3 linked regions of the Xenopus tropicalis genome follow. The protein of the gene in region 3 interacts with the protein of the main gene of each other region in a pairwise test. Links are inferred from orthologs where the notes say so. Each region holds a gene or a part of one and is shown on either strand. Other genes may lie near its edges.

What was found.
Region 1: the proteins of eif4a2 (region 3) and pdcd4 interact in binary tests that used the Homo sapiens proteins (3 or more experiments, as listed by UniProt). The two-hybrid records come from large-scale screens. The link is inferred for Xenopus tropicalis from reciprocal best matches to the Homo sapiens genes EIF4A2 and PDCD4.
Region 2: the proteins of eif4a2 (region 3) and E3 ubiquitin-protein ligase TRIM39 interact in binary tests that used the Homo sapiens proteins (3 or more experiments, as listed by UniProt). The two-hybrid records come from large-scale screens. The link is inferred for Xenopus tropicalis from reciprocal best matches to the Homo sapiens genes EIF4A2 and TRIM39.

The regions. Positions count from the first base shown.
Region 1 is NC_030683.2:2,657,410-2,661,974, forward strand, and holds the start of pdcd4 (programmed cell death protein 4), read right to left. Parts: upstream 2,992-4,565; 5' UTR 2,913-2,991; exon of another isoform or gene 2,908-2,912; intron 2,902-2,907; exon of another isoform or gene 2,814-2,901; intron 1-2,813. UniProt on the Homo sapiens protein: Inhibits translation initiation and cap-dependent translation. May excert its function by hindering the interaction between EIF4A1 and EIF4G. Inhibits the helicase activity of EIF4A. Modulates the activation of JUN kinase.
Region 2 is NC_030678.2:143,271,333-143,275,878, reverse strand, and holds the start of E3 ubiquitin-protein ligase TRIM39, read right to left. Parts: upstream 2,860-4,546; 5' UTR 2,772-2,859; coding exon 2,681-2,771; intron 1-2,680.
Region 3 is NC_030681.2:105,926,080-105,930,463, forward strand, and holds the start of eif4a2 (eukaryotic initiation factor 4A-II), read right to left. Parts: upstream 3,092-4,384; 5' UTR 3,066-3,091; coding exon of another isoform or gene 3,037-3,065; intron 2,249-3,036; coding exon of another isoform or gene 2,203-2,248; intron 2,124-2,202; coding exon of another isoform or gene 2,054-2,123; coding exon 1,991-2,053; intron 1,940-1,990; exon of another isoform or gene 1,868-1,939; intron 1,793-1,867; coding exon of another isoform or gene 1,653-1,792; intron 1-1,652. UniProt on the Homo sapiens protein: ATP-dependent RNA helicase which is a subunit of the eIF4F complex involved in cap recognition and is required for mRNA binding to ribosome.

The sequences.
Region 1 (4,565 bases), on a different chromosome or scaffold from region 3:
AAATGGGGGTCACTGACCCCGGAAGCCAAAAACTATTGCTCTGTGAGGCTCCAGTTTTACTGTTACTTGTTGTAACTTTCTTTGCTATTCAGCCCCTCCCCTATTCATATATCAGCCTCTCTTCCAAACCACTTCCTGGCTGCTAAGGTAACTTGGACCCTAGCAACCAAATAGCTGCTGAAACTCCAAACTAGAGAGCTGCTGAACTGAAAATGTCAAAAAAACCTACAAATAAAAAATGAAGACCAATTGCAAATTGTCTCAGAATATCACTCTCTACATCATACTAAAAGTTAACTCAAAGGTGGACATCCCCTTGAAGCTGTTGCTGGACATGGGGGCACCCCATGGGTTCCCAGTTTATCTTTTTAAGAAAATCCATCATTTTGAACGTTCATGTATCATAACTTACACTTATGTAAACAACAGGCAAAGTGCAAAGGAACAATCAGGTATTTGTTGTATTATTTTTGCTGCTGTGACAAACACAAAGGAAACAGAACAGAGCCGCAATCACACAATGCAGTTATATATCCCTTTCTCTGCCGCTCACTGCATCAAACCAACAACACTACATTACTTTAGCCCATGCTAGAGCGGCTACACACCAGCGCCAACGTATCACAAGTATCTGTACAATGAGTGATGCACAACAGAGACACGGCTGAACTATTTCACACACAATATAAAAGGAAGGAAGGAACACGCAGTGTAAAGGCAAAGTACTCCAGCAAAACATCTATTTAAAGGGACACTGCCATGATATTTATGGGGCACTTTTTATTTTCAAATGACACTGTTACACAGCAAATAATTCCCTCTGCCATTTAAACTTTTATTCTTGTACCAACAAATGTATTTGTAGCTGTAATATTGGTGTGTAGGCGCCATCTCAGTGCCTTGTGCCTGAGTCTGAGCTTTCAGCCAGCGCTACACATTAGAACTGCTTTCAGCTAACCTATTGTTTCTCCTACTCCCATGTAACTGGAGGAGTCCCAAGCCGGACTTGGATTTCTTACTATTGAGTGCTATTCTGATACCTACTGGGAGCTGCTATCTTGCTCCCTTCCCATTGTTCTGCTGATCGGCTGCTGGGGGATATCACTCCAACTTGCAGCGCAGCAGTAAAGTGTGCCTGAGTCTGAGCTTTCAGCAGGAGCCAGCGCTACACATTAGAACTGCTTTCAGCTAACCTATTGTTTCTCCTACTCCCATGTAACTGGAGGAGTCCCAAGCCGGACTTGGATTTCTTACTATTGAGTGCTATTCTGATACCTACTGGGAGCTGCTATCTTGCTCCCCTCCCATTGTTCTGCTGATCGGCTGCTGGGGGTGAGGGGGGGGGATATCACTCCAACTTGCTGCGCAGCAGTAAAGTGTGCCTGAAGTTTATCAGAGCACAGGTCACATGGCTGTGGCACTCTGGGAAATTAAGAATATGGCTAGCCCCATGGGAAAAACAGATTACAATGCAGGATTCTGCTGGAGAAGCTCTATTAACTGATGGGTTTTGTAACAAACATGTCTTCCCAAGACAATATTCCTTTTAAACACGAGCCAGTGATCTGGACGATGCTACTGACACAGCATGTTTGCAGCAGGAAATGAATGCTAAGTTTATAAAACACTTAGATCTCAAAATCTATGAGCAAACCTTAATAAAACACAAGCTAAAGAAAGATGAAACAACCGGTGCAATTTGGGTGAATGTTTATAACAATATAACAATGTTGTGCCTGTTAAAGGCTTGCAACTGCCCATTCCCTCACATACAGAGGATGCAGCGGTGGGACGGGCCCCTAGGGCTAGGGCTGCCGCCTGGACAGTAATTAGTGGCTTGCCAGTACAAGCAATACTATTTGCCCATGGTATTAATCTATTAATTAGATTTACATACAGGAAGGCTGGTATTTATGTTTTTAAGAACAGGTGGCAGTCACTCTCACAGCAATTCTATACAGAGTGCCAAGTGGTATAGCAGGAGGCAATGGCACTCCGGTAGCCCAGTTGCACCCTAAGGAGACACGGCACCCTCCTAGCCCCATGACTTGTAGAATAAACCGCACCCCCCCCCCAAAAAAATTAGGATTGGTCCTTAATGTTACGTAACATGCAGGAGACCCCCAGGAACCCCCAAATCCACTGCCACATACAATGACACACCCCCAGCCCCTCCCCCACCATGCACAGAGTATGACTCTCCCCTCCTTACCCAATGGAGAAAGGACAATCTGCACCCCCCCCCCCCCTGCACCCCCAACAGCAGGACAATCACCCTAATTCCCCACATATAGGACACACCCCTAACTACATGCCACACCCCTTACCCTGCCCAACAAGCCCTACAAATAGAATGGAAACGCCCCCTTACCCCTATAGGTGGGACAGGCCACACCCCCTCCAAAAGATAGGCCTCTCCACCGCCCTCATACAGGGCACAAACCCCAACTCCGACAGGACGGGGCAATTAACCGACCCCCCCCAACACTATATTTAACCCTTACTCCCCGCATACAGGGGGCAGGACACGCCCCCCCAACACTATATTTAACCCTTACTCCCCGCATACAGGGGGCAGGACACGTCCCCCCAGGACCCAAACTTTTAAAAGAGAAGATACGTTTCTGTTGCGCTTTATAATTACAAGTTAATAATAATAATGTCCCGCTCCTACACACACAGGACACGCCCCCCCCAAACAAACACAAGCCGGACCCCGTCTCCCACAAGCAGTAAACATGACACTAATCGCTACACCGCGCACACACGGGAGCCGCCAAGCCTCCCCAGAGACATTACACGCCTGACATTACCCCGGGCCGCAGATGTAACACACAGGTCTCTCTCCCTTCCGCCTGCGTGCTCTTCTGTGGCTGTTTATGTTTTGATCCCTCCGCCCTCCCGTACCTCACCTCAGCGCGTCTGCCCAGTAACACCGTCACATGTGCGGCGGGCGTGGCTTTTTTGCATTGGCAGGAGATGTAAGGTGTGCGGGACGAACACCAATAAGAACCTTGGAGGGCGGGGCATGCGGCTGTAGGAGGAGGGGCGAAATAATCTATGCGCACGTCAGGGGCTAGGGCGGGATATTTGTCTGAGGCGAGGAAAGTGGGAGCGGCCATTTTGTGTTATTGGGTTTAGGGGCGAGTCCTGTGTGTCGGATTCATTCTCAGCCTCAGCCTTATATACTATATTATCCTCACTGGGGAGTCTCTTCCCGCTACATGTTATTTACTGGCTCCCAGCCGGGCTTCGCGTTCAGCAGTGTCTGGTAATAGCCCAGTGGGGGTAGAATGTAATTACTGAAACTTTACATAATGTCAAAAGGGTTACAAAGTTTTTAAAAACATGATTTAATTGTAATTATCAGGTACGAACTGGGGTTAAATATAGCCCCCCCAGCCCCCCCCCCCCGTACCCCAGCCCAATAAATAGTGACCCTTTCAGGCTTAAACTGTAAAGTCCACTGGGAATTGTCACCAAGGGCAAGTGCACCTCATTAGTGGCCTGCACAACCAAAAGAGATAGAATGCAATTAGCGGGGGGGGGGGGGGGGCTCTGTCTATTCATTTAGGCAATTAAATGTGACCCAGGCCCAGGGATCCTGGAAAATATATCTAAAAGTTGGCTCTTTAGACCGATTTACCAGCTTATCTGCCTGTATATGGGCACCAACGACGGGCCTCCCCAACCAACATATGGCCTGAAACCGTCCAGATCTCTATTGAGCAGGCTTTATTTTTCCATGGATCAGGGGCTGCATCGGCTTGCCACCCGTAGGTGGGCATATGAGCCCAATAAAGAGTGACCTTACAGCCCCCCGACATTCCCAGTACCCAGAGGCACAAACAGCCCCCCAGCCCAATAAATAGTGACTGTCTGTGGCACCTTACAGCCCCCCCGGCATTCCCAGTACCCAGAGGCACAAACAGCCCCCCCAGACCAATAAATAGTGACTGTCTGTGGCACCTTACAGCCCCCCTGGCATTCCCAGTACCCAGAGGCACAAACAGCCCCCCCAGCCCAATAAATAGTGACTGTCTGTGGCACCTTACAGCCCCCCTGGCATTCCCAGTACCCAGAGGCACAAACAGCCCCCCCAGCCCAATAAATAGTCACTGTCTGTGGCACCTTACAGCCCCCCTGGCATTCCCAGTACCCAGAGGCACAAACAGCCCCCCCCCAGCCCAATAAATAGTGACTGTCTGTGGCACCTTACAGCCCCCCTGGCATTCCCAGTACCCAGAGGCACAAACAGCCCCCCCCAGCCCAATAAATAGTGACTGTCTGTGGCACCTTACAGCCCCCCTGGCATTCCCAGTACCCAGAGGCACAAACAGCCCCCCCAGCCCAATAAATAGTGACTGTCTGTGGCACCTTACAGCCCCCCCGGCATTCCCAGTACCCAGAGGCACAAACAGCCCCCCCAGCCCAATAAATAGTGACTGTGGCACCTTACAGCCCCCCTGGCATTCCCAGTACCCAGAGGCACAAACAGCCCCCCCAGCCCAATAAATAGTGACTGTCTGTGGCACCTTACAGCCCCCCTGGCATTCCCAGTACCC
Region 2 (4,546 bases), on a different chromosome or scaffold from region 3:
TAGTTTTCCTTTAAGCTTTTACCTAATGAAAGAATATACTGCTACAATTGTAAACACAAAATGTCTTTTCCTGTACACCATAAATGTTTTTTTTTTTCATTTGCTTTCTACTTTTCTTTTTTCAATATTTGAGTGTTTTTCTAATATTAATGTTTAGGGCAGGCGAAATTGTAGGATAAAGCCCTAAAAATAACAAATCGGAGGATGTTCTGAACATGAAATAGTTGGCAGACACCAATCGTACAAAAGTGACTTACTGGAAATGCATTGCAGGTCCCCCAAGGATATCGTCAGGTAATAAATACATGCACAGATTTTATAATTTTCCGAGCAAAATTTTCTAACCTGGGATTGCCATGGTACACAAATTATCGGGATGATAATTCGGATCCCACACAAGGTCCGAAATATTTATGAAACTGCGTTTCGTACGATTTTATCAGTGCACATATGGCCAGCTTATTGCTGATGCCACACAAAACTGATTTTCGGCCTGTGGAAAAACACAGGCAGAGAATCGGCCCCTCTGCTGGCAACAAAAGCGGCAAAAGCAGGCATTTTCGGTCCAGTCTCCACTCCGCTCCATGTACCTGCACTCAAGCAAAAGTTGTACTTTTAGTGTAGGTAAACAGAGCTGCGTAAGGGAATAGATCTGCTTCTCTCACCTGAGAGAAGCAGAAGAAATGCTCTATATGTCCAGGGCCTACATTTTATTAAAGGCAGCTGCTAGAATTAATACAGTAGTTACTAATGTTTCACATGTTCTGCTGAGAAATCTATCAATTCATGTAGCAAACTATAACAGTTCAGAGTAACCTGGATTACTGAGATACCAGACTGTAGCACTTGAGACTTGAATATTAGGGAGAGGGCACACATAGTTACATAGGGTTAAAAAAAGACCAGTGTCCATCAAGTTCAACCCATCCAAGTAAACCCAGCACACCTTACCCACACCTACCAATCTATACACTCACATACATAAACTATAAATACAACCACTAGTACTAACTGTAGATATTAGTATCACAATAGCCTTGGATATTCTGATTGTTCAAGAACTCATTTAGGCCCCTCTTAAAGCATGTATAGTCTGCTTCTTTCTGCCTGCATTGGGCCAGGCAGAGAGAAGCAGATCTGCTCTAAACACTTCTGTGAGTAGCTGCACTGACAGACACAGCATCGGCCTTAATGCAGCTACACGGCGCAGAGACTGGCCTGAAAATGCCTGCTGTCGTGTTTTTCTGACCAATCACTGCTCTGTCTAGCAGCAATCAGGCCTATGCTATCACTATCAGTGCAACTACACACAGAAGCGTATAAATCAGATCTGCTTATCAAAACCTGCCTACCAAATGCAGGCCGAGAGAAGCGGACCATATGTCCTGTGTGCTCTCACCCTTAAAGAGCATGTCAACCCAAAAAATATATTTTGCCTAATAAAAGAAAACATAGTTCTAAGCAACTTTCTAATATGAATTTATAAACAAAAATGTTAGTGCTTCAAAAGTTATTTGTGAATGTAACTGCTATTGAAAGCAGCATTTAGTTAACTCCTGGTTGTTACTTTTTAAACAATGTTTCAAAGGTCAATCTCCTCCAGCAAGTCAGGTCTGTCAGTCTGCTGCTTGTGTTACAGTGATTCACAAGGCAGAGTTACCAGGGCAGAGAATACACATATATATATATATATATAAAGCAATGAAAAATTTTCCTATTTGGTGAACTGTTTAAACCGTAAAAAGCGTTTGGAAGAACTTGGGAGAATTCTTGGGACCAAGCTTTCCAGGGATTCTTTCTTAAAGGAACAGTAACACCAAAAAAATTCAAGTGTATGAAAGAAATTCCAATATAATGTACTGCTGCCCTGCACTGGTACAACTGGTGTTTTGCCTCAGAAACACTACTATGGTTTATATAAAGAATGCAGCTGTGTAGCCATGGGGGCAGTCATTCAAAGGAGAAAAGGCACAGGCACTTAGTAGATAACAGATAAAACACGATTGTATTCTACAGAGCTTATCCGTTATCTGCTATGTAACCTGTGCCTTTTCTCCTTTTTTCCAGCTTGAATGGCTGCCCCCATGGCTACACAGCAGCTTATTATATAAATTATAGTAGTGTTACTGTAGCAAACACACAACTTTTACCAGTGCAGGGCAACAGTGCATTATATTTCATTTACTTTAAAACTCTTTAATGTTTTGGTGTTACTGTTCCTTTAATTCAGAAGACTATGCTTAAAACCTACTAAAACGTGTTTAAAAGTTGAAAATAAACCAGAATACAAATGTTCTGATATCAACAGTTCGCTCATATTGTTTTATTGAAGGCCACATACAACACATACAAGGCATTTAGTAAAGAGAAAGCATGATGTCATGATTATGGCAATGGGGCCGTGGGGCTTTGTGTTGCTGTGTGCAGCTCAGTTGAATGAGGTTATCATGTGAATATACAGAAAGCAGCAGTTTGTGTGATTGCTGAATTAGCTGACAAACATGTGGTGATTCCAATGTGCTGCCATGTTTGGCCTAAGGGGAACTGGGATTTTCTTTCCCAGAGACAACAAACCCCCTGTGTGCCATTGCCCCTAGGCTCAGCCAGCCTGCATTTGCCTATACAGCACACCCCTGTCACCATGCTGCAAATAGCAGGCACCTTCCTCCATGGTGCATACCTTGCATTCCTCCTGTTAAACTCGACAAAAATGCAGTTGTGGGCTCGGAATCCATCTTTAATTCAGGAAGCTGGCACTGCTCTAGCCACATGTGGTGCTGGGGGCTGCCTCACATAAAGGAGACTGAGAGCAGCACGGAAACAATGAATGTGAATGCGCCATGGTACACAACCCTGCGCGCTTACCTGCACCGCACCGACTCGCTCGGCTCGCAGGAAACTAGAAGTCAGCACATACCACTTGGACGTAGAGAGAGGGGGGGGGGGATGATTAGTAATATAAATCTACGTTTAGAATTGGGTTGCTGAATTTGCTAGCAGGTTGTCAGGGCTTTAGAGCAGGTTAAAGGTTTCATACTGGAATATAAATGCAGGCTGTCCTCACTGCCGCTTTAGCGGTGTCCGGTATATGGGCTCCAAAGCCTGTTTATCAGAGCTGAAGGGAGACCCGTGTGTAGGCTGTACTGACGGCTGGGCGTGTCCTCTCACTCTCCCGCAGGAAGGTGTCATAACTGTGAGTGACAAGGAGACCTGCCCAAGCTCCTCCTCCTGTTTCTCTGCACAAACTGGGACACGTTATGTTATCTTTATCCTACTTGTGATAAAAGAAGTGCTTCTTTAGGGCTCTGGCACACGGGGGAGATTAGTCGCCCGCGATAAAACTCCCTGTTCGCGGGCGACTAATCTCCCCGAGTTGCCTACCCCTGCCATCCCACCGGCGAACATGTAAGTCGCCGGCGGGATGGCAGACGCGGCGGCGCGATTTCGCGCAAATCGCGAGTCTTTTTCGGCGATTCCCTGAAATTGCCCCGCCGCGTCTGCCATCCCGCCAGCAGGGGTAGGCAACTCGGGGAGATTAGTCGCCCGCGAGCAGGGAGTTTTATCGCGGGCGACTAATCTCCCCCGTGTGCCAGAGCCCTTAGGGCTCTGGCACACGGGGAGATTAGTCGCCCGCGGCAAAACTCCCTGTTCGCGGGCGACTAATCTCCCCGAGTTGCCATGACCTGCCATCCCACCGGCGAACATGTAAGTCGCGAAATCGCGACGAAATTTGCGCGAAATCGCGCCGCCGTGTCTGCCATCCCGCCGGCGACTTACATGTTCGCCGGTGGGATGGCAGGGGTAGGCAACTCGGGGAGATTAGTCGCCCGCGAACAGGGAGTTTTGCTGCGGGCGACTAATCTCCCTTGTCACGGGCGACTAATCTCCCCGAGTTGCCATGACCTGCCATCCCACCGGCGAACATGTAAGTCGCCGGCGGGATGGCACACGCGGCGGCACGATTTCCCGATATCGCCAAAAAAGACTCGTGAGGCAGGTCATGGCAACTTGGGGAGATTAGTCACCCGTGACAAGGGAGATTTGTTGCGGGCGACTAATCTCCCCGTGTGCCAGAGCCCTTAGCCCTGGCTGGGGGTAGTTATGTTTAGGAACCGCAAGATGCACAATATTGTTATCTGTACTGGCGTGTTGTATATAACAAACTCACCTACTTAGATTGTAAGCTCTATGGGGCAGGGACTGCCTTCCTACTGTGTCTCATACCACATGGCACTTATTCCTTGTGTATTTTGTACTTATTTATTGTATTTATTATAACACTTGTCCTCCCTGTGTGTAATTTTGTAAGATTGTACATCGCTGCGTACCCTTGTGGCGCTTTATAAATAAAGTTATACATACATACATACCTCTTGCGCAATGCCACACAAAGCATTTTGTTTCTAAGGGGATATCACTTCCAGCGGGCAAAAACATGACAACAAAAATATTCCACTATGGGTTTAATGTAAATTGCAACAGGCATTTTATTCAAATCACATAATCACAGATAAATGCCTGTAGATGCATTTTGTGCTATTATAAG
Region 3 (4,384 bases):
ATCTGTCTTTAAACAATATAGCATAATGACTTCTACGCTGCTTCAAGTGCTAGAACCTGATAACATAAAGGTATAAACAAGACTACATTTAAAACAAAAGGATTTTAAAATTCTTAAAACTGCATTTTCATACAGGAGTTTGTGGGGAAGGAGTCCTTTAAAGGGAAACTACCACATTCTGTAATTTGAGTTTAAAAGCCATAATGAATATGTTGCGTCAACATTAATTCCAGAGCTGCATAGATTGTCCTGTGCATATGTACCAGAAAATAGGCTATATGTCAAATATGCACAAAGATTAAAAGCTTTTCCATGCCACAGGAGGAACTTACAGTGCAGATATGCTACACTACAGGACACTTAAGTCAATATTTTAATATGTAGAAAGAGGTGCACAAATAATAATCTAAGGGTCTTTAAAGAGGATTTAAAGTACTGTAAAAATAATTGCTGTGGGGCTTCATTAAAGTCTTTTGTGAAAGGGAGAGTAGAGTGCATGGTTAGTAATTGCTGACAGGGATACAAGAATTTTTATAAAAAAAAAAAAAAAAAGTCATGTTTGATTCTAAAATGATACGCATAAGTACTGCACTCCAAAGCCCTTGTCGTAGAACAGTTCAAATATGGTTGATGCCATCAGCTTGGCTGGCAAACCACACCCTTAATGCATGTGTAGTATGTTCAAGCCATATTACAAAGGTTCATGAATTCTAGGCCTAACCAACTCAAGAAGCCAGGTACAGCACTTCAGCACAGACTAGTAAATGTGGCCCTAAGGATCTGCTAGCTGTTCAAACCACATCAGTGCGATTAGCCATAGAAGCCAGTCAGCAAATAGATCTGATGTTCTAATTTGTTAGAAAATGGTCACTGCCAAATGGTTGCTATGGGCTAATGCACTAATTTAGTTTAGCACATCTTCATTAGCTTCATTAGATTACAGTTAATCAATGGAGTAAAACATTCTTTAATGGAGGCTGGGTAATCTTCCCACAGAAAGCCATGTTTCTTAGAGACTTTATATACACATTTACCCACACCTATTTAGCACATTAAACAAATGTGCAAGTCTTACTACAAAGGTCACTATGGTTTCAAATTAGTATGCCCCTTAGGAAGCAATATTAAATCAGGTGTCGCCTGGCCTTTTGGACCAGTCTGCCATTGTTGGCAACTGCAGCCTTAAGGATATTTTAAATAGCCAGATACATGACTGCTTAGATCATGCCTTTAGTCATTATAACCCAAGGGCCTAAGAACACTAAAGTAAACACCATAATGGTAGGAAGAAGAGTTAAAAAAAATCCTTTGCTGTGAAGTTACTTACTAGTATATTTTAATAAGTAAGTAGCACAGATAATGACATTTAAGAACACTGCTCATTATACTACTACTACACAAAAACGGGGGGTGGACACAGTATGGCGGCTTATTAGTGATAATCAGCAGTACGGTTAAATGAAAACACTTTGCTTTAGGTTTAACTTAATTTCCCTGCCATAATACTGCAACAAATTTATGCACCACTAGCTACATCAGTTAAAGAAACAGATAGTTTCCCTTTAGATATTCAGTATTTTATCATTAAGCGTTCGCTAGTGTGTTTAGTTATTAAACTGAAGCCTGTGCAGCACATACTAGCCTATCAATACCTGTTGAGCGAGTTCTCTTGTAGGGGCCAATACTAGAGCTTGGGTCTCCTTGAGATCAATCTCCAGCTGCTGCAGGATGGAAATAGCAAATGTGGCTGTCTTGCCAGTACCTGACTGAGCTTGAGCAATCACATCATACCCTAAAAAAAGTAGGATACACATTCAATGTTCCCACATTTTATTTTGGCACTTTAACTATTAGTCACATAATATACAAGTGATCAGCAAAACAGAAAAACTCTTCACATCAACTCAGTCCCGAAAGATGGTATGCCATCATCTCACTTGTATTAAGGGAAGCTTTTTATTCTACCTACTCAGATGTGAACTTTTCTTACCTTTGATACAGGGAATGATTGCCCTTTGTTGTATGGCTGATGGTTTTTCAAAACCATAAGCATAAATGCCTCTCAGAAGAGATTCTTTAAGATTCATGTCATCAAAATTGTCAACAATTTCATTCCAGTTGCTCTGCAATGGCAAGTTAACCAGTTATTTATCAGTGAGAAGCAGAATTTAACATAAAAGGAGAAATAAGCATTATGCTCACCTCAATGACACCATCGGGGTCCATACCATCAGGGCCTCCATGGTCTCTGAGAAGAATAACACAAGTGCACTTCAAGTCATGTCTTTGCCTTAAGCAAACGGACATACACCACCACCCAAGCTACAGAGCAGCAGCTATATTGGCACATGCATATATACAAGTTGATGTATAAGAGGCACACAGCCTAAAGAAGGCAGCTGCTGCAGTTACATTCATTTAACAGGCATAACAAGATGTTGCAGCTGCTACAGTATCCTGCTTACATTTAACAGTGATGGGACAGTTGCTTACTTAACATCTGTACCCAATAAAGTATATATCTATCACAGGATAACAATTACCTATCAAATTAATTAGTAACCGTAGCGAAGCATACAGCCAAGCTCTTGCGCCCTTCGCACAGTGCTCACAATTCATGGCGCCATGTTCTGCCGGCGCCATCTTCCCCCCCTCCCCACCCTGCGGATGAGAGCCACAGCCCTTAGGTGAATCCAAACCGTTTCGCTCTAAAATTGTGCGTAGGTCCGCAACCAAAAGACATAGCCGCATTCCCAAAGCTTACTCATGTGCAGAGCAGGGCATCATTACGGTCAGGAACACCTCGCCATACCGCTTCTAGTTACTACCCAACTACAACACCCTGCAGCATTTGGCACAAGATTCCGGGAATTCGCAGAGCCCTGAAGAAGCCCGCGTGTAAAGCCGACCAAGAAGGCCTTACACTCAGCCCCTAACAAATATATATTGCCACTAAATGTTATAGTCTCTACCACCCACTCCCTCTTTTAGGGCTACCTAAAAATCCTCGTTCAATAACTTGTGCAAAACAGTTACCTAGTATAATCCGCAGAACCGCCTGACATGATCCACACCGCACTTCAGAGCTCAACTGAAAAGGACTTGGAAAGCTACCACGTCCGATTTATACAACTGGGACTACATTCCGAACCGCGGACGAACACCAGTAAAAAGACGATTTTATTGACTAATGCGTGCAAGTCTCATACTATTCAGGATTACAACCCAAAAGCGGTAGAGATTATTTTATTATTTATTCTCGTACGACAATATTTTGTACTCTTATGTTATTTTGTGGTATAGGTACTATTTTTTTGTCGATGAGTCGTCTGTGCTCTCCGCGGAAAGATATTGCAGCATATTGTGTAGGGTTTCGGTCCCTGAACAGTACGGGGTTTCCGGAGCAGCCCCTGCACGGGCAGATTGCTAAGACCTCCTCCCTTGCGGTCAGTGGGTGACGTTCTGTGTGCTGTACGTGATGCAGGGAAGAGAAGCTGGATGGTGCAGTACCTCTAGCAATGAAGTTGTGCTGATAAAATGTTAAGCGTGTTTGCTAAAACGAGGTATCGTAATGTGTGCAAACTGCGCAAAGCATTGTAGCTCCAGCCCAACATCGGTATCATTTAACCTAGTTTATGTACATTATTGATTTCTGAAAACTGGAGAAAGTTCAAATCTATGTTGTTCTGCCTCAGCGGGGATTATTAAATGCAGAACATTATTAGATTTTCTGCAGTGGAGTTCTGCTTTTGCTGTGTAGGTATTTGTGATGGTAAGTGGTTCCCTCTGATGGCTTCTACATAACCCCCCCCCAAAAAAATATTCCTGCGTAAAATACTTTATTCTTTTGTGGGTTTTGTATTTTTATTGACTAACAATAATTCATGCAAACCTAAACTGCACACATTAATGTGGGCACAGTTAATTCTAATTAACACTGTGTTGGCAGCACTGATACACTAAAAATTAAATAAAACCATTAAAAATGCAATAAAATCATCAATATAAAATGTAAAAAGTAATTATGCAGGGTAATAAGCTTGCAAACAGGGCAATAAAACACTGTTCAGAGAAAAAAACTAAATAAAAGGTTTAAATGAATTTGTACACTTGGGGGCAGATTTATTAAAGTCCGAATTTAAATTAATGTAAAGTATGTTTTGGAAAAATTCGGGTTAAATGTGATAATTTCTGATGTGAGTTAATTGCGCGAAAATTTGTATTGTGATATGATCCGAAAGTTATGAAATTTTCGTATCTTAACAATCATAAATGGCGTGAAAAACTTTCTGACTGAACCTTCGGTGCATGATTTCGGAAGCCTACCATAGGACTCAATGGCACTCTGCTGCTCCAACCCGGCCCAAGGAAAGTCTCCCATAGG